Linked DNA regions of Elephas maximus indicus. The protein of the gene in region 1 interacts with the protein of each later gene in a biochemical or structural test. Links are inferred from orthologs where the notes say so. Each region holds a gene or a part of one and is shown on either strand. Other genes may lie near its edges. The genes, in order: ATF2, MAPK13 and MAPK11.

Evidence for each region.
Region 2: of the proteins of ATF2 (region 1) and MAPK13, one has a biochemical effect on the other in vitro, tested with the Homo sapiens proteins (2 studies listed by BioGRID and IntAct). The link is inferred for Elephas maximus indicus from reciprocal best matches to the Homo sapiens genes ATF2 and MAPK13.
Region 3: of the proteins of ATF2 (region 1) and MAPK11, one has a biochemical effect on the other in vitro, tested with the Homo sapiens proteins (4 studies listed by BioGRID and IntAct). The link is inferred for Elephas maximus indicus from reciprocal best matches to the Homo sapiens genes ATF2 and MAPK11.

The regions. Positions count from the first base shown.
Region 1 is NC_064824.1:73,233,204-73,241,336, reverse strand, and holds the start of ATF2 (cyclic AMP-dependent transcription factor ATF-2), read left to right. Parts: upstream 1-3,394; 5' UTR 3,395-3,529; intron 3,530-8,133. UniProt on the Homo sapiens protein: Transcriptional activator which regulates the transcription of various genes, including those involved in anti-apoptosis, cell growth, and DNA damage response.
Region 2 is NC_064819.1:99,810,134-99,818,266, forward strand, and holds the start of MAPK13 (mitogen-activated protein kinase 13), read left to right. Parts: upstream 1-3,892; 5' UTR 3,893-4,011; coding exon 4,012-4,130; intron 4,131-4,836; coding exon 4,837-4,966; intron 4,967-6,305; coding exon 6,306-6,364; intron 6,365-8,133. UniProt on the Homo sapiens protein: Serine/threonine kinase which acts as an essential component of the MAP kinase signal transduction pathway.
Region 3 is NC_064822.1:196,617,198-196,625,330, reverse strand, and holds the start of MAPK11 (mitogen-activated protein kinase 11), read left to right. Parts: upstream 1-3,525; 5' UTR 3,526-3,636; coding exon 3,637-3,752; intron 3,753-6,250; coding exon 6,251-6,380; intron 6,381-6,725; coding exon 6,726-6,784; intron 6,785-6,874; coding exon 6,875-6,986; exon of another isoform or gene 6,987-6,994; intron 6,995-7,080; exon of another isoform or gene 7,081-7,108; coding exon 7,109-7,138; exon of another isoform or gene 7,139-7,228; coding exon 7,229-7,276; intron 7,277-7,342; exon of another isoform or gene 7,343-7,363; coding exon 7,364-7,478; exon of another isoform or gene 7,479-8,133. UniProt on the Homo sapiens protein: Serine/threonine kinase which acts as an essential component of the MAP kinase signal transduction pathway.

The DNA.
Region 1 (8,133 bases):
TCACTGTCCTTTCTGTGTTTTTTGGTGTGCATCTGTCATTGCAAAGCAGCAAAGATGGCCTTTTTTTCCCCCCCACACTAATCAAACGTTCTTTCCCTCTTTTCCTTCCCTGCCCCCTATTGTGGTAAAAATATATATGACAAAACATTTATCATTTCAACATTTTTTACGTGTAGATTTCAATAATACTGTGTTCATCATGTTGTACAAACATCATCACTGTCTGTTTCCAAAGTTTTCCATAGCTCTTAACAGATCTCAGGGTCCCCCTTTCCTCCTCCCTCCTACCCCAGGTAAACCACCGATGAACTCTGGTCTCTATACATTTGCCCCTTGTAAATATTTCGTGTAAGTGGGATCATACAATATTTCTCCTTTTGTGACTTATTTCACTCAGCATAATGTTTTCAAAGTTCATCCTTGTGGTATCATGCATCTGGACTTTATTTCTCTTTATGGCTGAGTAATATTCCATTGTATGTTTACACCATGTTATGTTTATCCATTCATCTGTTAATGGACGTGTAGGTGCTTTCCACCTTTTGATTATTGGGAAGAGTGGTGTAATGAACATTGGTACACAAGTTCATAGCATTTCTGCTTTCAATTATTTGTGGTATATACCTAGAATTGCTGGGTCATATGGTAATTCTATGTTTAATGTTTTGCGTAATCACCAAACTGTTTTCCACAGCAGCTGCACCATTTTACTTTCCCACCAGCAATGGGAGGCATCAGTGGTTCAGTGGTGGAATGCTCGCCTTTCATGCAGGAGACCTGGTTCAATTCCTGGCCAATGCGCTTCATGCACAGCCACTACCCATCTGTCAGTGGAGGTTTGCGTATTGCTGTGATGCTTAACAGGTTTCAGTGGAGCTTCCAAACTAAGACAGACTAGGAAGAAAGGCCTGGTGATCTACCTGAAAATCAGCCAGTGAAACCCTTATGAATCACAAGTGATCAAGGGGATAATGCAGGACCAGGAGGTGCATGGGGTTGCTATGAGTCAGGGCCAACTTGATGGCAACTTACAACAACAACCAGCAATGGATGAGGGATCTAATTTCTCCACATCCTTGCCAGCATATGTTGTTTTCTGTTTTTGTTTTTTAATCATAGCCATACTAGTGAGGGTGAAGTGGTGTCTCATTTCCCTAAGATACTGAGCACCTTTTCATGTGTTTTTTGGGCATTTGTATATCTCCTTTGGGGAAATGTCTTGTCTTTTTTATATATACAAAACCAAAACCTATTGCCACCGAGTCAATTCCAGATCATAGTGACCCTATAGGACAGAGTAGAACTGCCCCCATAGAGTTTCCAAAGAGCACCTGGTGGATTTGAATGGCTGACCCTTTGGTTAGTAACTATAGCACTTAAACACTATGCCACCAGTGTTTTCTTTTTATATATGTTGTTGTTGTTAGGTGCCATCGAGTCGGTTCTAACTCATAGCGACCCTATTTACAACAGAACAAAACACTACCTGGTCCTGCACCATCCTTACAATAGTTATGCTTGAGCCCATTGTTGCAGCCACTGTGTCGATCCACCTCGTTGAGGGTCTTCCTCTTTTCTGCTGACCCTGTACTTTGCCAAGCATGATGTCCTTCTCCAGAGACTGATCCCTCCTGACAACATGTCCAAAGTATGTAAGATGCAGTCTCACCATCCTTGCTTCTATATATTAAACTGGATATTAAACCCTTATTTATATATGGTTATATATTTATATATGGTTCCCAAAAAATTTCTCCCCAAAATCCTTACAACTGGACCAATTGGCAACATCATGATAAATGGAGAAAATATTGAAGTTGTCAAGAATTTTCATTTTTCTTGGATCCACAATCAACACCCATGGAAGCCGGAGTCAAGAAATCAAACGATATACTGCATTGGGCAACTGTGCTACAAAAGACCTCTTTAAAGTGTTAAAGGGCAAAGATATCACTTTGAGGACTAAGGTGTGCCTGTCCCAAACCATGGTATTTTCATTCAGCTTATACACATGCAATACTGGACAATGAATAAGGAAGACTGAAGAAAAATCGATGCCTTTGAAGTACTGTGTTGGTGAAGAATATTGAATATACCATGGGCTGCCAAAAGAACAAACAAATTTGTCTTGGAAGAAGTACAGTCAGAATGCTCCTTAGATGTGAGCATGGCGAGACTTCGTCTCAAGTACTTTGGACATGTTATCGGGAGGGACCAGTCCCTGGAGAAGGACATCATGCTTGGTAAGTAGAGGGTCAGAAAGAGATGAAGACCCTCAACGAGATAGATTTACACAATGGTTGCAATGATGGGCTCACTGATAGCAACAATTCTTAGGATGGCAGAAGACTGGTCAGTGTTTCCTTGTGTTGTACACAGAGTTGCTGTGAGTTGGAACTGACTTGACAGCGCCTAACAACAACTCTTCACTTTGTTGATAAAGTCCTTTAATGCATAAAAGTGTTTAATTTTGATGCTGGGAAAAAGGAGCCTGAATCAGTTCCACTTACAGCTTAGTAAAATTTCAACAAACACCGCTCAGATTAAAAGCTTTTTCGTCTTATCCTCTTTCCCTCTTTAGGCATGTAGGGGATTTGGGGGTAACTACCCGGGGCAGTTCTACTCTCCTATAGGGTCGCTATGAGTCGGAATCGACTCGACGGCACTGAGTGTGGTTTGGTTTTGACCCAATTCCGTCTCTCCCAAACCTCAGCTTAACCTAAACTCCCCTTACCATAGCTTTACTCACGTCTCCACCATGGGCCAGGAAGTGACAGCAACGAAAACTACCCGGTTCCCAGGGCTGGCAACTCACCGGCTTTCTCTCTCCTCACTCGCAGCCTTTCCTGAACTCACCTCTTCTCCCTGCACACCACTAATCCCCTCCGAGACCTCAACCGCCACCTGCTCCCGCGCCCGCTAGCTGCCAATCACAGCCTCCGGCAGCTCCAGGGTTACTGAGAAATCGTTAAGAACTCGGCTGCTAACCGATAGGTTAGCGGTTCAAACCCACAAATTGCTCCGCGGGAGAAAGGTGTGGCAGTCTCTTTTGGAAACCCTATGGGCCAGTTCTACCCCGTCCTATAGGGTCGCTACGAGTTGAAATGGACTGGAAAGCAACGGGTTACTGGTCTCTGTACTCCCGCCCCCTCCAGAACTGCTTCCCGCCCTTCGGTCTCCTTGTCCAATCACCAGTGCCCGAGTGTTTTTGGTTCCCGCCCCCTCCATCCCCACCCTTCTGAGTCCCGCCTCCTTCGTCAAGGCTGACGGAACCACCTGACCCGGAGTCGCTCCTTCCGAAGGAAGGCAAGAAGGGGCGTGCGCGTGGAGGGGAGGGGCATGAGAAGAATGGGGAGGATGCCGGGAGTGGGGCGGGGAGAAGGGTTGTCAGTCCGATCTCGCGAGAGAGGACGGAAGCCTGTGGGAGCCCGTGGCCTTTAAAGTACGGTTCAGCCCTTTCCTCCAGGGGTGGTTTGTAAACACGGGGCTCCGGGCAGCCGAAGGGCGCATGCATTAGTGACCTGGAAAGGTGAGTAGTGATGGGGAGATTGCTGCAGACTGGAGACTGTGGGGTACCGAGAAAGAAGGCGCTAACATGGCGACGTCGCTCACCACAGTCCCCACCCCCCGCTTCCCAGCACCTGGGGCGCCCCTGCCTCCGTCCCTAGCCCTCGGGGCGACTGTGGCTGTGCTGCCACCTCAGCAGCCTGCCGGCGTCGGCTTCAGGAGGCTGTCTAGCCCGGCCGGACCTTTAGGTAACTGGCGTTCGTTGTTCCGGCCCCTCCCCGCTCGCGCGCTTTCCTAACGAAGAGGAAAAAGAAATAACGGCTCCTCTCAGACCCCTCCCTCCGATTTATCTTCCCCTTCTTCGGTCGGCTCGGAGGCTCCTGGAGCACAGGTCGGACCTGCCGAGGGCGCGGGGAGACCTCCCTCGGCCCTTAGCTTGGGCGGGAAGAGGGTCGGCTGTGGTCTCCCCACCCAAGACCCAGCGGCCGGGACTATTTGTATGTGGGGTGTGGAATGGGGAGTAGATCGGCATGTACGGCTGAAAACAGGGTCTGGGTCCCTGCCTGCGGTGAAACCTGATGGAGCGAATGGTATGGTGAGCCTGGGAATTAGGAGGCCCGGCCTTTTCTGTCCTTTCTGCCACCCTCACACACTCGCCACCCCCCTCTTTTTCCCAGTGGGGCGGGGCTGAGGTGTGGGTGCGGGTTGATTCTGGCGTTTTCCCCCATTTTTTATCTCTCTGGGTGGACACCAGAGCTTCTGTAGGGAAATAATCTGTGCTGTTTATCGATGCCCCAGGGACCAGGACAGAAAGAGAGATTGTGTGTGTGTGTGTGCGCGCGCGCTCCCGTGTGTGTGTGTGTGTGTGTGTGTGTGTGTGTTTGCTTGTTTTCTACGCACGCTGGTGGAACCGAAGCTAAGGAGAGGGCGGAAGAGCTGGGGATTATTTTTGTGGTCTTAGGTAGTATAAAGGAGCTCTGGTGGAGCTCGTCTGCTAACCAGAAGGTTGGGGTTCGAACCCGCCAGCCAGGAGGAAGATGTGGCAGTCTGCTACCGTGAATATTTATTTACAGCCTTGGAAACCGTATGGGGCAGTTCTACTCTGTCCTATAGGGTCGCTATGAGTCCCAGTCGACTCCATGACAGTGGGTTTGGTTTGGTGGGTAGGTAGTAAAAAAAAAAGTCTTTTTTAATAGGGAGTCTTAAAACTGGTGAGGCGAGAGTAAAACTACTGTGAATATGATGGAGTGAAACACATTACTTAGACCTATTCATTTATTCCTAAATTATAATATGCAAGTAGTTTCTTAGTAATCTTAAATTACAGAAACAGTAACAATGCATACTATTAATGTATTTGAAGTCAGAACAGAAACTGTTTCTCTGAGCACACTTTTTGTCCTATATGAAGAAATTCATAACCATTGACATTGTCAGTGGCAGCAGTTCCCCCTCAGAATCTTTAAATAACCGTATAACCTTGGTCTATTGAACCAAAATTATGAAGGTGCGACTTTATTGTAAGAAGTCAACCCTATGTGGGTTAACTGCCCTGAATTACAAATACAGTAGCAGTTATATCTTGTATTTAAATTTGTCACACTGACTTCAGGCATCCTCTGTAAACACTTTTTTCAGAAATTGGAGGAACATCCTTTCAAGTTTTTTTTTAAAAAACTAGATGCCCTTCTGCAGATCAAGAAAGTTCATGGACCTTGAAGACCTTCGATAATAATCAAGAATCCTTAGCTTTGTAATATAATTTGTAAGAATCTTTCAAGTTTACAGTGGTGTGTATATTGCTTATCGGGTCGCTATGAGTCGGAATGGACTCAACGGCAGTGGGTTTGGTTTGGTTCGGGTTTGTGTGTTGCCTAAGGAGGCCTGGCAGTGAAGTGGTTAAGCACAAGGCTTGCTAACTTTAAGTTCTGGGTTCCTGTGCACCAGCTGCACCTTGGGAAAAAGATGCGGCAATCTGCTTCTGGAAAGATTACAGCTTTGGAAACTCTGGGGCAGCTCTGCTCTGTCCTGTAGGGTCACTATGAGTCGGAATTGACTGACTGGACGGCAGTAGGTTTGGTTTTTTGGTTTCGGTGTGTTGCCTCCCTAACAAATCTTTAATCTTGCTTTGAGAGGATGCCACTGCTATTCTTTTAAAATTATTTAGAATATAATGTTGTAATTAAAATGTAGGCATTTTGTATTTTAATTGTCGGTAAGGAAGGCGCTTTCAGGAACTTTTCGTGTATATGTTTTTAAGGTACGCAATGCCTTATACAGATTTTATTGCATTTGCTGGAAATCTCTTTAAATACCATGTTAGAATGTTTATTTGGTATTTGGGCCACTATATTATGTATTAAAAATCATGCAATCCAGAAATTCTTGCATTTACTTTTTTACTTGAAGTATTTGTTTCTTATTTTTAAATTAAGATAACAGTAGAAATAGTTACCATGTCAGCTGTTTAATAGATAATTGGGGGGATTTATTGGTATTTAGAGTTTGGAAGCTGTAGTAGTATAACATAAAAATTATATGCTATACATCGAACTTCTAACTAGCATTAACTCTCAAGAAATCATCCACACTTTTTCTATCTAAATTTTTATATTTTGGAAAAGTTGGGTTGTAATGATTTATATGTCCTCTGCTGGTATAGGGTCACAGAGTCGGAATCGAGATGACAGTGGGTTTTTTCTGCTGGTAAATTAAATTCAAGGATCGTTTTAGATCAGGGGAATAATCCCACCGTGCATACTGTTTTCCATTTTGCCTTTGAGCTCTTCATTCTGATATGAAATCTGCCTTTAAGCTGGCACTTCTTTTTTTGTGTGTGTGTTTTTGTTGAAATGTCCTTAGAGAGGATAAAGTAGTTGAAGTCTTTCTTACTTAAAACAAAATGTCCACCAAAACCTCTCAATTTAAAACAAACTGAGTAACAGTTTCAAGAATTATTGGATATTCAGCTGATCCTCATAAAAATTAATAAATAACAGTACTAGTTACGCTATTTTTTGTAATTCAAATGCACCCCTAAAAGCCTTTGCATTTTATAAAAAAACAGTTTAATTTAGTAGTTTAGTGTTTATTTTATATGTATTCAGTGAGGTTAAGAACTTGTCTAAAATGCATCATATTCTCTTTATATAATTTTTAATGATCAGGTAGTCATTATTAGATAATGTCCATCAATTTATATCTAAGAGAAAACCCCACAAAACATTTTATTTCATTTTTTCTGTTTCTCAAGCACAAGGTTAAAAAGTTGGAGTAAGGTATAATTTCATTAAAAATTTATTTTCATTTTTAAGCATGTTTAGTGATGCTTTTTTTCCCCCTTGGCATTTTTGTCAATAGAAAAATAAATGATGTGGTAAAATTGTAGTAATTAAAAATTCCCCCCCCCAACAAGAAAGGATATAAATAAACTGCTTTGGGGGCTAGGCCTGTTCATTCATGTCTACATTCTGTATCTTAACAAAGACAATTGGCAACCATTTTTCTTCTGCCTTGATGCCCAAGGAATAGAAAGCACTCCCGAAAGTAGTAGTGGCTTATTACCACTGAGATCCTCAATGAAATTGGTAGGAAAAGATGGTGGGAATGATTGTAATTGGCAAAATACCAAATGTATTTTGGTTCTTTTGAAAGTCTGTGGTTGACTTTGTCTATAATATTGGCCTTAAATTTGTAAATATGTTCCCTAAATATTCTTTAATTTACCTAATTGAACCTAAACTCTGTCACTGTAATTTAATGGCTTTGTTCTTCCAGTTTATTTATTGAGCAGCTATTATAGCAGTGTAACTAGAAATCAACTTCAGTTTTGCCATACTAACTGTTTTCATTATTTTTCTTCTATTTTGTATATATACATTATAGTGTTTACAGAATTACAATGTAGCTTTATGTTTTTTTAAAATAGTATCGGCATTTTCCCATGTTATATAACATTTACAATGTCTAACGGTTTTGCAATCACTCACCAAATGATGTATTAAATTTGCTCAATTTTAAATGCCCAACAGGAGAGTAGTTATTATCAGTTTTTGTATATTTTAACATTGAATTGAATATCATTTAGAAATAATATGGCCTACCCCTCCTGACATACTTGTGCTGCAGTTTGAAGGCAATATAGCAACCACCTATTTATTTCGCAGCCTTAGGAAAGTTGGGTTTTCCCTAGGAACTGTAACTTGGGGTGGAACTTATAATTGTAGATTTATCATAAATCCATGTGAAAGAATATCTCATAGTTGTGGTCTGTATATGCCTCTTCCCCTCAGAATTTTTCTATATAAAACTTGAGCAGTACAGCATATTCATATTTTGCGGTGATAAAATTGTGATACTGTAATTTCCATAAAATCTTCTACGATAGATAAGTACATTTTATATATCTACCTTGAACAAAAGTAATGCTGTGAACATTATATATATAACACCACTACCAAATCTAAAATGCTATTAATAAAATGTCCATTGATACGTTAATATTCATAACCATTATCTGTAAATTATTTGTATTTTTCTATTATAATTTTAAATTATAAGACAAGAACTTGCTTACCTTATACCTAGGGATCAGAGGTCTGGTAATAATCAAGACTCACTTAAAAA
Region 2 (8,133 bases), on another chromosome or scaffold:
GTTCGTCCTCACTGCAAAGAGCAAAGAACCCAACTTGTTCAGCCACAGGTGTGCTCCTGGGGACCTTCAGCTGGAGGCAGTAGCAGTCCGTATCTCACTGGGTAGTGGTAAGGAATATACATACACTACAGTTGGAACCCTGGTGGCGTAGTGGTTAAGTGCTACGGCTGCTAACCAAAGGGTTGGCAGTTCGAATCCGCCAGGCACTCCTTGGAAACTCTATGAGGCAGTTCTACTCTGTCCTATAGGGTCTTTATGAGTTGGAATCGACCCGTCAGCAATGGATTTGGTTTTGGGTGACAGGTGGAAAAGCATGTTCCAAGGACTCTTTAAATCTACTTGTCATACTTTAGAGGTCCCTGGGTGGCATAAATGGTTTGCCCTTGACTACTAACCTTAAAAAAAAAAAAAAACCTAAAGGTTAGTGGTTCAAATCCACCCAGTGGCACCACAGAAGAAAGGCCTGGTGATCTGCTTACATAAAGATCACAGCCAAGAAAATCCTATGAAGCAGTTCTACTCTACAACACAAGGTGTCGCCATGAGTCAGAATCAACTCAACTGCAAATGGTTTTGTCATACTTTAATATCATCCCCATTTTACAAGGACACTCAAGTTCACAGAGGGGAAGGCATTTCGCCCAGGGTCACAAAGCTGGTAAGTGGCAGAGCCAGATGCAAATTCAGGTCTCATTCCAAGGTTGGTTCCTTAAGCTCCTGCCTCAGTGTGAATAGGGCAGAAACCAACAAGACAACTTTGGGTCGGTGTCTGGGGAGCAAAAGAGCAAAGGGGCCTTGGAGCTCCAAGAGGAGAGAGTGGGTGGACTGTGGGAGGGAGGGCATCCAGGAGGTCCTCAGTGAATCCATCCTCTTCCTCCCCCATTCAAGATTTCCTGGACTGGGTCCTCCAAAGTGCTTCCCTCTGAGGCCATCTGGCTGCTCAGTAAACACAGGCCGAGCTGGGGGAGGGACCCTCCTCAGGCCCAAGGTGGGGGTCAGTGTCTGTGGAGTCTGAGGCCTGAGTCACTTCCTGGCCCTTGCTCAAGAGGTGTCCAGAGCTACAGCCAGAGTAGCAGGTTTGTGTCTCTCAGGATTGCACCCACTTGGCCAACAGTCATGTTCTTGGTATTCCTCACCCTGCTGGGTGGGATCTTCCCTGCCATGCTCAGGTTCTCAAGACACCACCCAGAGGATGCAGCCACACCTTCTTTATCCTCCATCCCAAGGTCTGGCCCAAGTCCCAGCCCCTTCCCTACCCTGGACAACTGGATCCCCAGCTTAGAAGGAAGCTTGAGTCTCCAGACACCTCTCCTTTGCCTGTACCCCAGCTCTATGCTCTGGCTTCCGGGACCTTGCTATGGAAAAAAAAAAAAAATGAATAACAGACATCTTATCTTACCCTTGAGTCCAAAGTTAACAGTAAAAGCCTGACCCCCCAAAACTGTTGAATTATTAAATTGGGTTTTTCCAGCTTCTTAAAGGAGTGTTAATAATAAGGACAGTGATAAAATCTTTGCAAACCCCTTTGTGATAAAGACATTTGCTAACCACAGGTAGGTCAGGGTTTGTCTAATGCAAAAAAGAAAGTAACTTTAGGTAATTCCCTTTCCTTCCTGAGAGATGAGGTAATTTTTATCATTTGAACACCTCTGGACTACACCTAAACATTTGTGCAAATGATGGCCCTCCCCGCCCCTCTACCAAGGCCAGAGATCACCTAGCAACCTGATGTCAGCTGATCTCAGTAGAGGGGACAGGGTTCAATCAATCACGCTAAGATTTGCCAATGGTTGATTTTCTATTCTCCTTCCTCTTCTCTTTATAAATTTCATTGTAACTAGCCTACATTGAGTCATTTGTTTTTTTAGAAATCAGGATGGTCTCCCTATATGCGTATACAATAACTGCTCAAGGTAAATCCTATATTTTAATTTCTTTGGGCGTTGATTTTTTTTTTAACACTGCCCAGCTTCAGGAACAAAGTGCCTTCCTCTGGCACCATCAACCCCAAAGGTCTGACATCCTGCAGGGCCCCCAGGCTCGCAATCCCTTCTCCTCCCAGAGGGTCCCAAGGCTGGAGTAGGGGGATGGGGCTGGGAAGAAGGCAGGGAACCTGTCAGATACCCCAGGGCAGGATGGGCTGGAAGAGATATGGTTTGACCTATAGACCCGTCCTTTGATGCTGGCGAGGCAGATTATTTGAAACACAGGACATTTCCTTAAAAGAGCAATGCCTCTTGTCTCAACCTGCATACCCTGCAAACCCTCGTGGTCAAGAGCAGGGGCTCCCGAACCAGGCTGTACTAGCTTCTTCACCTAGCTCTGGCCCGTACCAGCTGTGTGACCTTGAGCAAGGTATTTAACCTCTCTGTACCTCAGGCTGCTCATCTCTAAATGAGGATAATAACAGTACTGATTCATAGGCCTCTTACCAGGATTAAGTGAGCTGTGTATGTAAAACACTTAGAGCAATGTCTGGCACATGACAAACAAGTGTTTATTAAATATTTTTTCATTTCTAATAGGCTGACTCCTCCTTTCATTCTCCATACATTTATTGGTCCTACTGCGTGCCAAAGATGAATAGGATCAATTTCCTGCCTAAAATGCCTGTTGGGCATTTCTGTCAGATCCCTCGCCCGGAAATGATTTTCCAGGTGGTGCCTGGGCAAGGAAGGCCAAGCCGGTCTTTATGGGACAGGCTGTGGGGCTGGGTTTGGGGCCTGCAGATCGCCTAGTGCAGATCTCCAGCTTGCTAAAGGCCATGGAAAGTTCCTTTCCATCTTCAAGACCCCTCCTCTCCCTTCAACAAAGTGGAGCAAGTGGTCCCCACTCCTTCCTCACCCCCATCTCCAGGCCACCGTGCGTCAGACAAGTTGGGACAGGGGAGGTGTCCCAGGCAAAGGCATCCGGAGACCTCCCCTTTGGTCCTCAGGGGCCTCTGTGATTTAATTTCAGCCCAGAAATCATCTTCAGGCTGCACAAACCACCAGACATAGGTGGCAGAAAGCCTTGGTTTGTAATTGCCCTCCGGAGCCAGCAAAAACTATGCTCGATACCGGAAATTTTGAACCTAGACTGGATACTTGATATTATGGAGCTACAGTTATTAAGTGTAAAATGATATTGAGGTTATGTTTTTAAAAATAATCCTTATCTTTTAGGGATACAAAAAATATTTATGAATGAAATATGATGCCTGGGCTTTGAAAATAATGGGGTTGAGAGAAGGGCTTGTAGATAAAACTGTCCATGAGTTGATGTCATTGTTAAAGCTGAGAGATTGGGGTCATGGAGTTCATCAGAGCTCCATACTCCCAGCGTGGCCCAGAGGCCCTCTGAGCTTGGGAGCTGGTTGGAGATGCAGACTTGCGGCCCCACCCCGGACCTACTGAACCAGAATCTGCATTTTAATAAAATTCTCAGGGGATTCGTGTGCACATTCAAGCGTGAGAAGCACCGGGCTATTCTGTCTACTCTTGTATATTTTGCTATTTTCCATAATAAACAGTTTTGTTTTTATCTGAAATCGTCTCCGAAATTCCCGGCGAGCTATTCCTAGAGTCCCGGCTGTACGGGAGCTAGAAGGCCCCCTCTTCCAAGTCCTCCGCCCCACGTGGAAGCCCCTCTGGTCCTCAAATCCTCGCCCCCGCGCCCTCGACCTGGAAGCTCCCGGTTCCCGCAGGACAGCGAGTCTGTTCAGGTGGCCCGCACCTGCCGCTTCGGGATCTGTCTGTCCTCAGGGCCACGCACTCTCACAGCTGCACGCAAACATGGGCCTCCCCAGCGCAGGGCTGTCGGGGCAGGCCCGGGAGTGGCCGCGCCCTGTGCACCTGGGCGCGCCGGCAGGTGGGACGCGTCGCGGGCCCGGTGTCCCCGCCCTTGCGGGGGGAGGAGCGGGCTGCGCGGGGCGGGCTCGGCGCGGGACCGAGAGCGGGGACCCGGGCTCTGGGAGCCCGGCGCGCCGCGAACGCAGCCGCCAAGCTGAGTCTTCCGCATTGGGTGCCCGGGATGAGCCTCACCCGGAGAAAGGGCTTCTACAAGCAGGACGTCAACAAGACCGCCTGGGAGCTGCCCAAGACCTACGTGTCCCCGACGCACGTAGGCAGCGGGGCCTATGGAGCCGTGTGGTGAGACCCTCGGGCCTGCGCGGCCGCTGGGGGCTTAGGGGGCCTGAGACCGTCGGGGCGGACGGTGGGCGGGCGCCTAGGCACTGGGACGCGAGGGGAGCCTCCCCACAAGCGTGGGCCTGGACCGCTTCACCGTCTGCACTCTCGGGCTGGCCCTAGGTGTCCCCTTCTGCTGGCTGCTCTGGGATGGATACCCACAACCTTAACCTAGGACCCCCAAGGCCCAGCATCCTGAGGGTTTGAAGGCCCTCCCAGGGGCTTTTCCTGGAGCTGGGAGGGAGAGGGAGGCTGGACTGCAGAGTGGAGGATGAGGGAGAAGCCCCAGGCTGTGTCAGAGGCGACATAGCGCCATCTCATTTTTCTCATTGGGCGGCTGTGTGGGTCTCTCTGGGTTGAATTAGAGCTAGCTACACTGAGGCCCAAAGAGGAGGACGTGACTCCCAGTTGCATGGAGAGTGAGGTTCCCGCCCTGCACCTGACCTTGTCCACCTTAACACATGTCTGGCTGTAGTGCAGTACACCTCATTGTGCTTCCTGCTGCTCCCCCACATTCCAGGTGGTTGGCATCATGTCCTCCCCAGCCTAGCCCACGATGGGGATGAAGGAGTGGGAGAGGGAGGACCTCCTGGGATCCCCGGAGTCACCTGGGAGGTACTACCTGGATCTGAGGTGGGTGCTTCCAGCTGACCTGCCTGTGTCCCTACAGCTCTGCCATCGACAAGCGGTCAGGGGAGAAGGTAGCCATCAAGAAGCTGAGTCGGCCCTTCCAGTCTGAGATGTTTGCCAAGCGGGCCTATCGGGAGCTGTTGCTGCTGAAACACATGCAACATGAGAACGTAGGCTGGGCCCGGGGGGTGCTTACGGGCAGGCCCCTGGGTGGGTGCTGGAGACGGCCTGAGAGAGTACGGAGAGCTCAGGACGGGGCCCAGAGACCGGAAATCTCCCTGCTACACCGCCCCTTCCCAGTAGCTTTCTTTTCCTCACCTCATTATAAAAATGGGGACGTCAGAACCTGCCCTGCTCAATTCCCAGAAAGAGTGCGAAGAGTAGTTGTGGCAATGGAGCAGAATGGGCTTTGTAAGGTACAAACTACAGTCTCACTGTTATGAGGAAATGGGCACAGAGGAACTTTGTGATTTGTCCTAGGCCTGAGAGCAGGTGGCCAGCTGGGACTAGACTCTTAGCTACGGTTGTCTCCATGGATGACCCAGATAATAATAATAAAAACCAAACCCGTTGCTGTCAAGTCGATTTCGACTCATAGCAACCTGTAGGACAGAGTAGAACTTCCCCATAGGGTTTCCAAGGAGCAGCTGGTGGATTTGAACTGCTGACCTTTTGGTTAGCAGCTGGGCTCTTAACCACTTTGCCACCAGGACTCCAATAATAATAATAGTGGATACTTACTGAACACTTACTATGTGTCAGGCACTGTTCTAAGAGCTTTGCATAAACTGACTTGTTTAATCTTCATAATGCCACATGAGACAAGTAATATTGCTCCCATTTTACAGATCGGAAAACTGGGGCACAGAAAAGCTCACAGGTTATATGGCTAGTTAGTGGATTTGGTCCTCAGCATCCTGACTCCAGGCCTGAGTGCATAACCATTACCCTGTCCCATCTGATAGAAATGTCTAGGAAAACCAGTGACCCAGTGCTGGGCCTCACAACCAAGTTTTGCTCCAGGACACCTAGATTGGAGGGCAAACAATCAAAATCATGATTTCAAAATATTGTGCACATTTTTTAGCCCTCTCCCTCTTCAGCAAACCCATCCCCTTTGGCCTCCAGCCAGGGGTGATCTTGCCCCTAGTTCCAAACCAGCCCTGTGGCAGGCAGGGATACATGTAGCAAGGCTCTTTCCCCAGCCCTTCCTTTACACCCTTTGTCACCCTTGGGTCCCTGCTTGAGTTGAGACTGGATTTGTGCTGCTTGCCCTGAAGACCAGATTTGGGAGCAATGAGCATAGGAACGTCCCCCTCCCCTTCTCCCCAGCCTGACTCTTCATCACTGTTTATTGCAAGTTCTCTCCCAAGAAGCCTGGGGGCTTACCTCCTGCTGGAGGTGGTGTATTAGGAAAGGGTGGTTGGTCCTGTGTATGGCTGGAGCCCTACAAGAGGGATGAGGAGAGGCCATCTGCTGTTCAGCTCTCACTGATGACCCTTTCCCCAGGTCATTGGGCTCCTGGATGTCTTCACCCCAGCCTCCTCCCTGCGCAACTTCCATGACTTGTGAGTCAACTGCACTGGGCTCTGGGGCGTTTGTAGGTCCCTCTTGCCACTCAGGAGCCAGTTGGGGGAGGATCCATATTCTCTCTTGGGGTGGGAGTGGGAGGGTGCTCTTGCCCTGTGCATCTGGGCTATCAAGGTGTGATTCTCTCTGAAGAGATTCTTTCAGCCAAGGGAGGAGAGGAAGGCAGGCAGGAAGAGGTAGGAGGGGCTTTGTAGGGTGCTTACTGGGCCTGGAGCTGTCTGAAAAGCTGCGTTGCTAGTTACCCAGCCTTAACACCACACACACACACACACACACACACGCACACACGCACGCACACAGACGCACACACATACACATACCTGTCAGACCTCACAGGGTTTGTAGCAACTCACCTGGCCATTCACCAGAGGCCCAGGTGCAAGTCTGAACCTAGGGGCTCCTTCTAGCATAAAGCGAGGATTGGGAAGCCTTGGCCACCTCTGGCCAATGAGGTATTTGACAGAATTACCCAGAGCCAGAAAATATAGTTACTAACTTTATAGCTTCACTAATGCAGTGCCTGATCTAAGATTTCGAAGCCTTTAGGAAGGTGGATTTTTTTTTTTTTTTAATTCTATTTCAATGCAACTGAAGGCCTCTTTGTTAGCATGCTTTTGTTTTAAATTTCATGCAATATTTTTGAATTGAGTTGTTTCCTATAATGCCAATTGCTGGGCTTAGCATTGGGAATTCAAAGCGGACCAGGACCAAGCACCAGCCCCTGCTCAAGGCACCATGTGTTGGGTGGGATGGAGGGTACAGCGGGCAGTTTTTAAATGAAGAATGACAGTAGTGTGGTCAGTGCTCTAGGTATGAGCAGAATTCTGGGGACTATGTGCTGCTTCAGGGGACATTACAGAGGAAGTGACATTTGAACTCAGTCCTGAAGGATGAATTGAAGTTTGCCTGAGGTAGAAGGGGCTGGAGGTAGAAGGAACTGTGTGGGCAAAGGCTGAGATGAAGGAAAGAGAAAGGAATGTCTGGGCAATTTTGAGAAATACAGCGTGGTGAGCGGACACCGGTGGCTGGTTCAGTCAAGCTGAGTCCACACTTGATCCTACAGGCAGCCTCAAGTCCATGGAGATTTTGAACAGGGAGGTGATATAGTTCATTCAGATTTGGGGATGCTATCTGGCAGCAGGAGGCATTGTGGTTTGGTGGTAGAATTCTCATCCTCCGTGCAGGAGACCCAGGTTCAATTCCCAGCCAATGCACCACATGCCCAGCTACCACCCACATGTTGGTGGAGGCTTGCCTGTTGCTATGGTGCTGAACAGGTTTCAGCAGAACTTCCAGACTAAGATGGACTAGGAAGAAAGGCCTACTATCTCCTTCTGAAAATCAGCCAGTGAAAACCTGATAGGCCTCAATGGTCTGATCTACAACTGATCATGGGGATGGTATACAACTGGATAGTGTTTCATTCCGTTGTGCATGGGTTCACCATGAGTCAGGGGCTGACTGGATGACAGCTAACAACAACAGCTCTGTCAGCAGTGAGAAAGGAGCAGGCAGCAGCTCGGAGACCTTAGTCTAAAGTAGAGGTGATGGGATGCCAAGAGCAGACTTGAGAACCATGTGGGGCAGAATGTTGTATCTGCTGGGATGCAGTGGCTGATTGAGATGGCCGGGGGCAGGGGGCGGGGGGATACCCAGGTTCCTGTTTGGAATACAAGGAGAAAGAACTGGTCTTGGGGGAAAGATACGAACTTTATTTTAGAAGTTCACTTTTGAAGAGCCTGTGAAC
Region 3 (8,133 bases), on another chromosome or scaffold:
ACCTGCCCCCTCCCCCCATGAAGCTTGGGGTAAGACCTTCAGGTCCAACAGTCTTAAGTTTAGGTGAGGTTTTCACCCCTCACCTCCCTTTCAGGACAGTGAGGACTGTGAAGGGACCTGGGGGCTGTCCTTTCTTAGGGCCAACAGAGGAGCAAAATTTGGTGGTGTATGATGGGGTACACAGGGGTGGACAGGACAGCATGGTCAGGATGCCAACAGAAGAGGCCTGCCCGCCCTTCCTGCCACTTCTGGTCTACCTGAGAGGAGAGAGAGGTGGGGAGGTGGCGCAAGTGGGCAACTGCTTCGGAGCCATGGGTGAATCTTCCCCTAAGCAGCCCCTCCTCTTTCTTTGCTGAGTGACCTCCCGCCCCTCCCCACCATGGGGTATGTGCTTGTGCAGGAAGTAGGCTCTGACGGCAGAGAAGCAACGTCTGACCAGACAGGAGTGGTCTAGGAGACCAGTGGGAGCCTGGATGGGTGGGAGGGCAGTGGAGACAGAGAGAAAGGGTGGGGTTTTGATATTTAGGGGGGACACTGTAGGGGTGGAGGGAGACTGGGGTGGTCTGGGAGGAGGAGGCCAGGGTTCTGGCCTGGGTGGGAGCCTCTTGGGCTGAAGGCACCCCTTGGAGGTGTCCATCCTCAGGCCTGCCTCTCACCCGGCCCCCACCACGTCTGGTCCTCCCCCACCTATAGCACTCCCCCAAGCCCCACCCCCCCACCGCCATCCCTCCCACCCCCCCGCCTACCCCGCCCCTGGCCCTCATTTTTGTTTCCCTTAGTGGAGTTCGGGCCTGCTCGGGTTCCCCGCGGTGCCTCTCTCCCTGCATGGCTTCCTGGGGGCGGGGGCCTTCCCTGATTCCCCCAGGCCCCGACTGTCCCCTCTTCCTGGTGGGCGGTCTCTAAGCACTCACCACCTTCCCAAACCCGCCAGTAGTCGCTCCAGACCATTCAATCGCCCCCACCCCAGGGGCCTCTCCAGCCTGCTGGCATCCGGGGGCGCCCAGTGTACGTCTGCTGAGGCCTACGAGAGGGTCCCCACTCTGCCAGGCCGCTGAGTCCTGATCTGCCCTAACCCCTCACCGCCGGGATTCTGGGGGCGCTGCGGGGGCGGGGCAGGCGGGGTCTCCTCGGGCCGCGGGAGGGATTGGGGGATAGGAGGCGGTGCCCAGCCCCCATAAGGGGCGAAGGGCGGTGCCCGGCCACAGTGCGGGGTAGGGGCGGGGCCGGTCGCCATGGGAACGCACACACTGGCGGCTCCCCTCCCCCGCGGGTGGCCTCTAGGCCGCAGTTCCCACACCCCAGAGGCCTCGGCTCCCGCCCCTTTTTCCTCCTTTAGCTGAAGCTCCATTAACTTTGCACAAAACCTCTGCCTGCATCCGCCGTTGGTGAAAGGACCCCTCATGGCGGGGGCCTTTTCAGGGAGGCCCCGCGGGCTCGGGGTCGGAGAGTGGCGTCCTCACCCCCCCCAACTGCAGCGCGCCCGCGCCAGGCCCTGGAACAGATACCCACTCTCGGAAGAGAAACTGAGGCCCAGCATGGCTCAGGACTTGCCCAGGGTCACGGACAGTGGCCGCGCGGTGCAACTCGGACCCCGCAGCCTTTGTCCGCATCTCGCCCGCCCCACGTCTGGATTCGCCGGGCACTTGTGTTCGTTTTCCTCTGTACCGCGTTAACATTTTTTAATTTGGTTGCCAATATTTGAAATTCATAAGATTTCACACAAAAACTCGGATTTGAGCTTCTTTTGAAAAAGTAGAAGTCTGGGCAATTGGGGCCTGAATTCCACTTCCCTGGGAACAGGATCCCCCAGCACCCTCACTGGCCCCCAGGGTGGAGGTCAGGAGCCACACGGAGCAAAGAGCTTCTCCGAACTCACGTTATTTTTAAAGCGGGAAACAGAAGTAGACTGAGGCCCAGAGCGCCAGAAAAACGCTGGCTAGAACGTTTGGTGGACCGGCGAACACACTCACCTGCCCCGGGTTAAAGCAGGCTGTAAGAACTAAACCCTGAAGGCCACGCGAAGGGACCGACCGGCCCTTACTCCCGTCACCTACTCTGCGGCTGCGAGGGCTGAATTCGAAGCCCCTGCAGCCCAGAGGCGGATTGCTCACTCCCGGGAAAAGCCAGGGAGCTTCCTGAAAGGTGGGAAGGAGGTAGAAGACACCAAGGAGGATGATGTATTTAGGTACCCTCCTCGTAGGCACAGCACCCCAAACGCCCCGCCCCCTCGAAGCCGCTGTCCCTGGTCCTGACAGAGCTGGTCCCTGGGCCCCGGCGGTCACGCCTCTCCCGGGCCAACCCGATGAGCAGGAACCCCTGCTGAGGGCCGACAGCAAGCCATGGAAGGTTCACCAGGAGAGGAGCCACAACCACCAAGGCCAGAGCTTCCCCCACGGGAAGGGAAACCAGGCACTGCCATATGCCACCGAGGCAGTGGCCCTGTCTAAGGGCCTTTTTGGTTGATTTTTTAAACAAGACACCTAGTTTTTAAGTAGTATCTCCTTTCTTCTCGATAAGGAGCCCTGGTGGAGCAGTGGTTAAGAGTTTCAGCTGCTAACCGGAAGGATAGCGGTTCCAACCCACCAATCTGCAGGAGAAAGATGTGGCAGTCTGCTTCCTCAGAAACCCTATGGGGCAATTCTACTCTGTCCTACAGGGTCGCTGTGAGCCATGATCGACTCCACGCCACACAACAACAAACTTTCTTGATGAAAAATCTTTCCCAATGCTCACCCCTGGCTTCCTCGATTTTGACAGTTCTCCCTGGTTTCTGAGGGTAACACTGGGGAGACTCGGTGCCCACGCCTCACCTTCCCCGTAAGTGTGGCAAGGGGCAGGGCAGGTGGCAGGAGGTGAGGACAGATCAAGGGGAGAAGAGATAATGTGGGATCCGGGGCTGGAGGCAGGCGAGGTTTCGGGCAGATCCGCATCGGGGCCCCAAGGCTCCGCTGACCAGGGAGTGCGGAATCCGAGCGGGATAGGGGGTGCGGAGACCCAAGCAGGCTGAGGGAGATGCGGGCCACAGCAAGTTGGGGGAGGTGCAGGCCACAAAAGGCTGGGTGATGCGGGGACCCAAACAAGCTGAGGGGTACAGGAACCCAAGGGGGCTGGGAGGCATGGGAACAGGCTGGCCACAGCAGGCTGTGGGAGGTGCGGGCCACAAACGTCTGGGGGATGCGGGGACCCAAACAGGCTGCGGGGTTGCGAAGATCCGCGCGGGCGGGGGGTGCGAGGAGAGGCGGTAGCATCGGCCTGGACAAGGCGGTGCCCAGGCCGGAGACAGGACGCGGGCGACGTTTGGGGGAAGCGCGAGGCCCCAGGAGGTAGGAGGGGACCGAGAGAGGAAGCCGCCCCCCGCCCTCCCCACCGCGGCCGCGCGGGCCCGCCCCCGGCACCGCCCCGGGCTGCGAGGCCGCCCAGAAGGGGGAGGGCAGGCGGGTTTCCGCCCGACCGCCGCCTCAGAGGGGCAGGAAGCCGCGCGCTGGCCCGAGAATCCCCCCCGCCCCCGGCCACCCAGCCCGGGAAACCCCCCGCCGGTCCCGCCCCACCCACCGCCTCCTCCTGCCGCCCTCCGGCTCCTCCCGGGCTCCGGCGCGCGGCGCGGGGCCAAACTGGGCCGAGGAGGCAGCTCCGGACATGTCGGACCCCCGCGCCGGCTTCTACCGGCAGGAGCTGAACAAGACGGTGTGGGAGGTGCCGCAGCGGCTGCAGGGGCTACGCCCGGTGGGCTCCGGCGCCTACGGCTCGGTCTGGTAGGGGCGGGGCGGGGGTGGGCGGGGTGGGGGCGGGACGGGGCCGAGTGCGCCCCCTCCCCCCCTGCGGGGCCCCGGCGTGGGGAGGGGCCTCGCCTGCCCCCGCCCCCGGCCCGGCGCCGAGCGGAGGAAGGAATGGGGGGCGCGAAGGAAACTTTCCTCCCAGAGGCCGCTCCCGACCTGGGCGGGGGTGTCCTCTGGCTCAGCACGACCCGGAGCGCCGCCACCCCGGCCCGGATCCTGCGAGAGGGTGGGTTTCCCGAGCCCCTGAAGGCCTGAGCACGAATCTGACGTTCCCTGAGTCAAGGGTCTGGCAGCCCCCAGGGTCTGCAGACGGCCCCCCTGCTCCCCGGTGGGTGTTTTTGTTTGAAAAGGGGCAGCCCAGGTGGGAAAAGATGAAGACCTCCGCCCTTAGGCCGGTCTCAGGCTTCACCCGCGGGCCCTGCCCCTCCTCCTTTTCCGGGGGGATCAGGCTCCGGAGTAGGGGCTTAGGCCAGAGCAGAGGGGATCTGCAGCCACGTATTTCTGCCCCAACCAAGGGAGCTCAGGTGATAGCCCTGCAGCTGGACCCTGAGGCGTCCAGCCTGGGGCCCTGTCAGATGGTCGAGTCTGCGTGGGGCGTCCGGGACGCCTGCAGGCCTCCTTCCCCTGGTACTGGGGTTTGGAGAGGACTTAGGATGAGGTGGTTACAGGGAGCCCTGAGGCGATGTTTAAATGTTGACAGGCTGAGGCTGATGCTTGGGTGTGGACGTTGAGAGATGCGCCCCAGCACCCAGTAGGGTCTTTACCAGCGCTGCTGCCAGGTGGCTGCCGTCCACTGGAGGGGGAGGCAGGGGCCACGAGGGTGTGGCGGGTTGTTGCTCCAGGCTCTTGCAGACCGTTAGGAGGGGCAATTCCTCGTAGCTTCTTGGAGTCAAGAGCAGAGGCTTGGGGTCCGCAGGCTGATCTCACTGGTCCTTGCAGGCTGTCAGGAGCTTCGGGCAAGCCATTTCAGCTGGTTCAGCCATTCCAGCCTGAGGCCTCGGTCTTCAAGGGCAGGGGGAGGGTCTGGGACAATACATGAGTGCATCCGGGGGACCTGCAGAGCCACACTGGACTCACCTCTGCCCAGGGAATTGTCAGTCTGGGAGTTGGGGAGGAAGTGGATTTCTCCTGCTGCATCTCGGGCAGTGTTTGCATGGCCCCGGTGCAGGGGGATAGCCCTGTCCTGGGCTCTGCTGGTGCAGGCAGCAGCTGGGGATGGGGTGCGGACTCCTGTCAACTCCACTGCGCAGACGCAATCAGACAAAAGGGTTTGCTGCCAGAGATGAGGGGCCACTTGCCTCATCACCCCCCCCACAGGTGCTGGGACCATTGTAGGGTGGGTCATAAGCTTGAGGGGGCATGGATACCCCAGGCACCTGACCAGCATCCCTGTACCACCCCCCCCACCACCACTCTGATCCCCCATGAGCATGGAAGCCCTATCAGGACAGCCTGAGGCTCCATTCACTCTTCCTGAGGATAGGGGGAGGGAGCCCAGCAGACAGGAAGTGAAGCTGGAGGGAGGGAAAGGAACAGGCTGTGCAAACCCCTCCATGCCTGGGCTCCAAGCTGCGTTCAGTAGTCGGGTCCTGGTAGTGAGGACAGTGGGGACCATGGATGGGTGGGCGATGACCCTGTCCCATTTGTGTTTGAGGACTGTAGCAGGGACTGCTGTGTCTCAGGTGGCCTTAGGCAGGTGAGGGGCTGGTGCCAGACAGTCTGGACCTGTGGGGAGTGGGGTTGGGCAAGCTGACATGTTCCGTGTGTCCAGGCACCACTCTCGGCTGAACATTTCACATCGTCCACTTTTACACTGTTAAAAATAATGATGCAATAAACACCTTTGACCAGTTTTCCCTCCATATCTTGAATATATTTCCAGGACCAGGGCCCAGAGGAGGTGTTGAGAGTCCAGGGGATTTGGGGGGGAGGTCTGGGGAGCCTCCCAGAGCCCATGGGGCCATGAGGGACGGAGAGGAACGTTTCCTGACATGTCATTTGCACGCTGGCTGGCGGGGGCTCTTCCTGGGCCTAGCACTGCGTTGGGGGAAGAGTCCGTGGGCTGGGAAGCAGGAGGCGAAAGAACCGAGTCCTGTGGTGGGGCCCCGGGTAGCTCGTTCTGCTGGTGGTGGTGGGAGCTGACCCTCCTCTTGAGGAGGGAGTAGGTGTGGACGGGACGCAGAGGAGGAGGGCTTGTCCAGCCACACGCCAGCCAGCCCAGCTCTCGCCCCGACCCTGCCGTCGGCAGCCGGCAGAGGCCCCGCCCGAGGGGCTCACGTCTGAGCCAGGCCCCGGGATGGGATGCGGGGAGCGGGGCCCGGCGCAGCGGAGGGGCCAGGGAGAGGCGCTCAGGCGGCCGGCGGCTCGGCGCCCGGCCCGGCCCTCTCCTCCCGGCTCCCCGCGTGCCGGCCTGGGGCGGGGGGCCAGGGCTGAGCCCAGACCCGTCGGCGTGGCCTCACTCGCCCGCCTTCCAGCTCGGCCTACGACGCGCGGCTGCGCCAGAAGGTGGCGGTGAAGAAGCTGTCACGCCCCTTCCAGTCGCTGATCCACGCGCGGAGGACGTACCGCGAGCTGCGGCTGCTCAAGCACCTGAAGCACGAGAATGTGAGCTGGGGGAGGGCCAAGAGGGCGGGCGGACCAATGGGGCCGGGGCGGCCTGGGGGCAGGCCAATGGGGGCCTGGAGCGCTGTGGGGGCGGAGCGCCCTGGGACGGACCAATGGGGCGGGGAGCGCCAGGGGGCGGAGCCACCGGGGCGCGGCGGGCCTGGCGCAAGGGGGGGTGAGTGCGTCCCTCTGAGGCCTCGGGGGCGGGGCCACGATAGCCTGGGGGCGGGGCCAACGAAGGGACCGCCCTAGGGTGGGGCTACGATGGTCTGGGCGTGGCCAAAGGGGCGGGGCCTGGGCCGGTCGGGGGTTGCCCAGGGGCTGAGCCGCACCCCCCAACCCCAGGTAATCGGGCTTCTGGACGTCTTCACTCCGGCCACGTCCATTGACGACTTCAGCGAAGTGTGAGAGCGAGGCGGGTGCGGCGGGGCCTGGGGAGCGCATTCGGGGAGGCCGGCGGCGGCGCTCTCTCCTGACCCCTGACCCCTACCCAGGTACCTGGTGACCACCCTGATGGGCGCAGACCTGAACAACATCGTCAAATGCCAGGCGCTGAGCGACGAGCACGTCCAGTTCCTGGTTTACCAGCTGCTGCGCGGGCTGAAGGTTCACTGCTGGGGAGGAGGCTCCGAAGTCCCTCCTCGGTGGGGGGCATGGCGGGGTGGGGGAGTCGGGAGAGGGGGCGGAAGGCGAGGCTCACCGTCCTGTGCTCTTCCCCTCCCCCGCAGTACATCCACTCGGCCGGCATCATCCACCGGGTAGGTGCGGGTGGGCAGGGTGTCCTCGGTCCTGGATGTGGGTCCTCTTGAACCATGCTGTCCACCTGGCTCATGGCTTCCTCGCTGCAGGACCTGAAGCCCAGTAATGTGGCAGTGAATGAGGACTGTGAACTCAGGGTGAGGGGCCACGAACCAGAGGGGCAAGTTGGGAGGGGAGGGCGGAGGCAGCTAGTGGGTGCTGACAAGGTTTTGCTGTTGTCCCAGATCCTGGACTTTGGGCTGGCACGCCAGGCCGATGAGGAGATGACCGGCTATGTGGCCACGCGCTGGTACCGGGCACCTGAGATCATGCTCAACTGGATGCACTATAACCAGACAGGTGCCTGTCAGGGCCAGGTGGGAAGGCAGAGCTCACGGCAGGGCTGAGAGGTGAAGGGAGAGCAGGGGAGAGACGGGCTATGGACCCGCATCAGACACAGGCCTTCAGAGGGGCTAGACAGGTGCCTGTCAGGGCCAGGTGGGGAGGCAGAGCTCACGGCAGGGCTGAGGGGCGAAGGGAGAGCAAGGGGAGAGAGGGGCTATGGACCAGCATCAGACACAGGCCTTCAGAAGGGCCAGACAGGTGCCTGTCAGGGCCAGGTGGGGAGGCAGAGCTCACGGCAGGGCTGAGGGGCGAAGGGAGAGCAAGGGGAGAGAGGGGCTATGGACCAGCATCAGACACAGGCCTTCAGAGGGGCCAGACAGGTGCCTGTCAGGGCCAGGTGGGAAGGCAGAGCTCACGGCAGGGCTGAAGGGCAAAGGGAGAGCAGAGGAAGTGGTGCCCAGCCTTGGAGGAGAGACGGGCCGTGGACCAGTATCAGACACAGACCTTCAGAGAGCCCTGAGCCAGGGGTCAGGGGCGTTCCCTGGCTTCTGCAGCCAGCGCTAACCCCTCCCCCTGCCTACGGCTGAGAATAGAGGGAGAAGAGTCTGACTGCGTTTAGGCCTGGGGGTCTCCTGGGCTGCTGAGGTCCAGGAGCTCCCCAAGGAGGGAC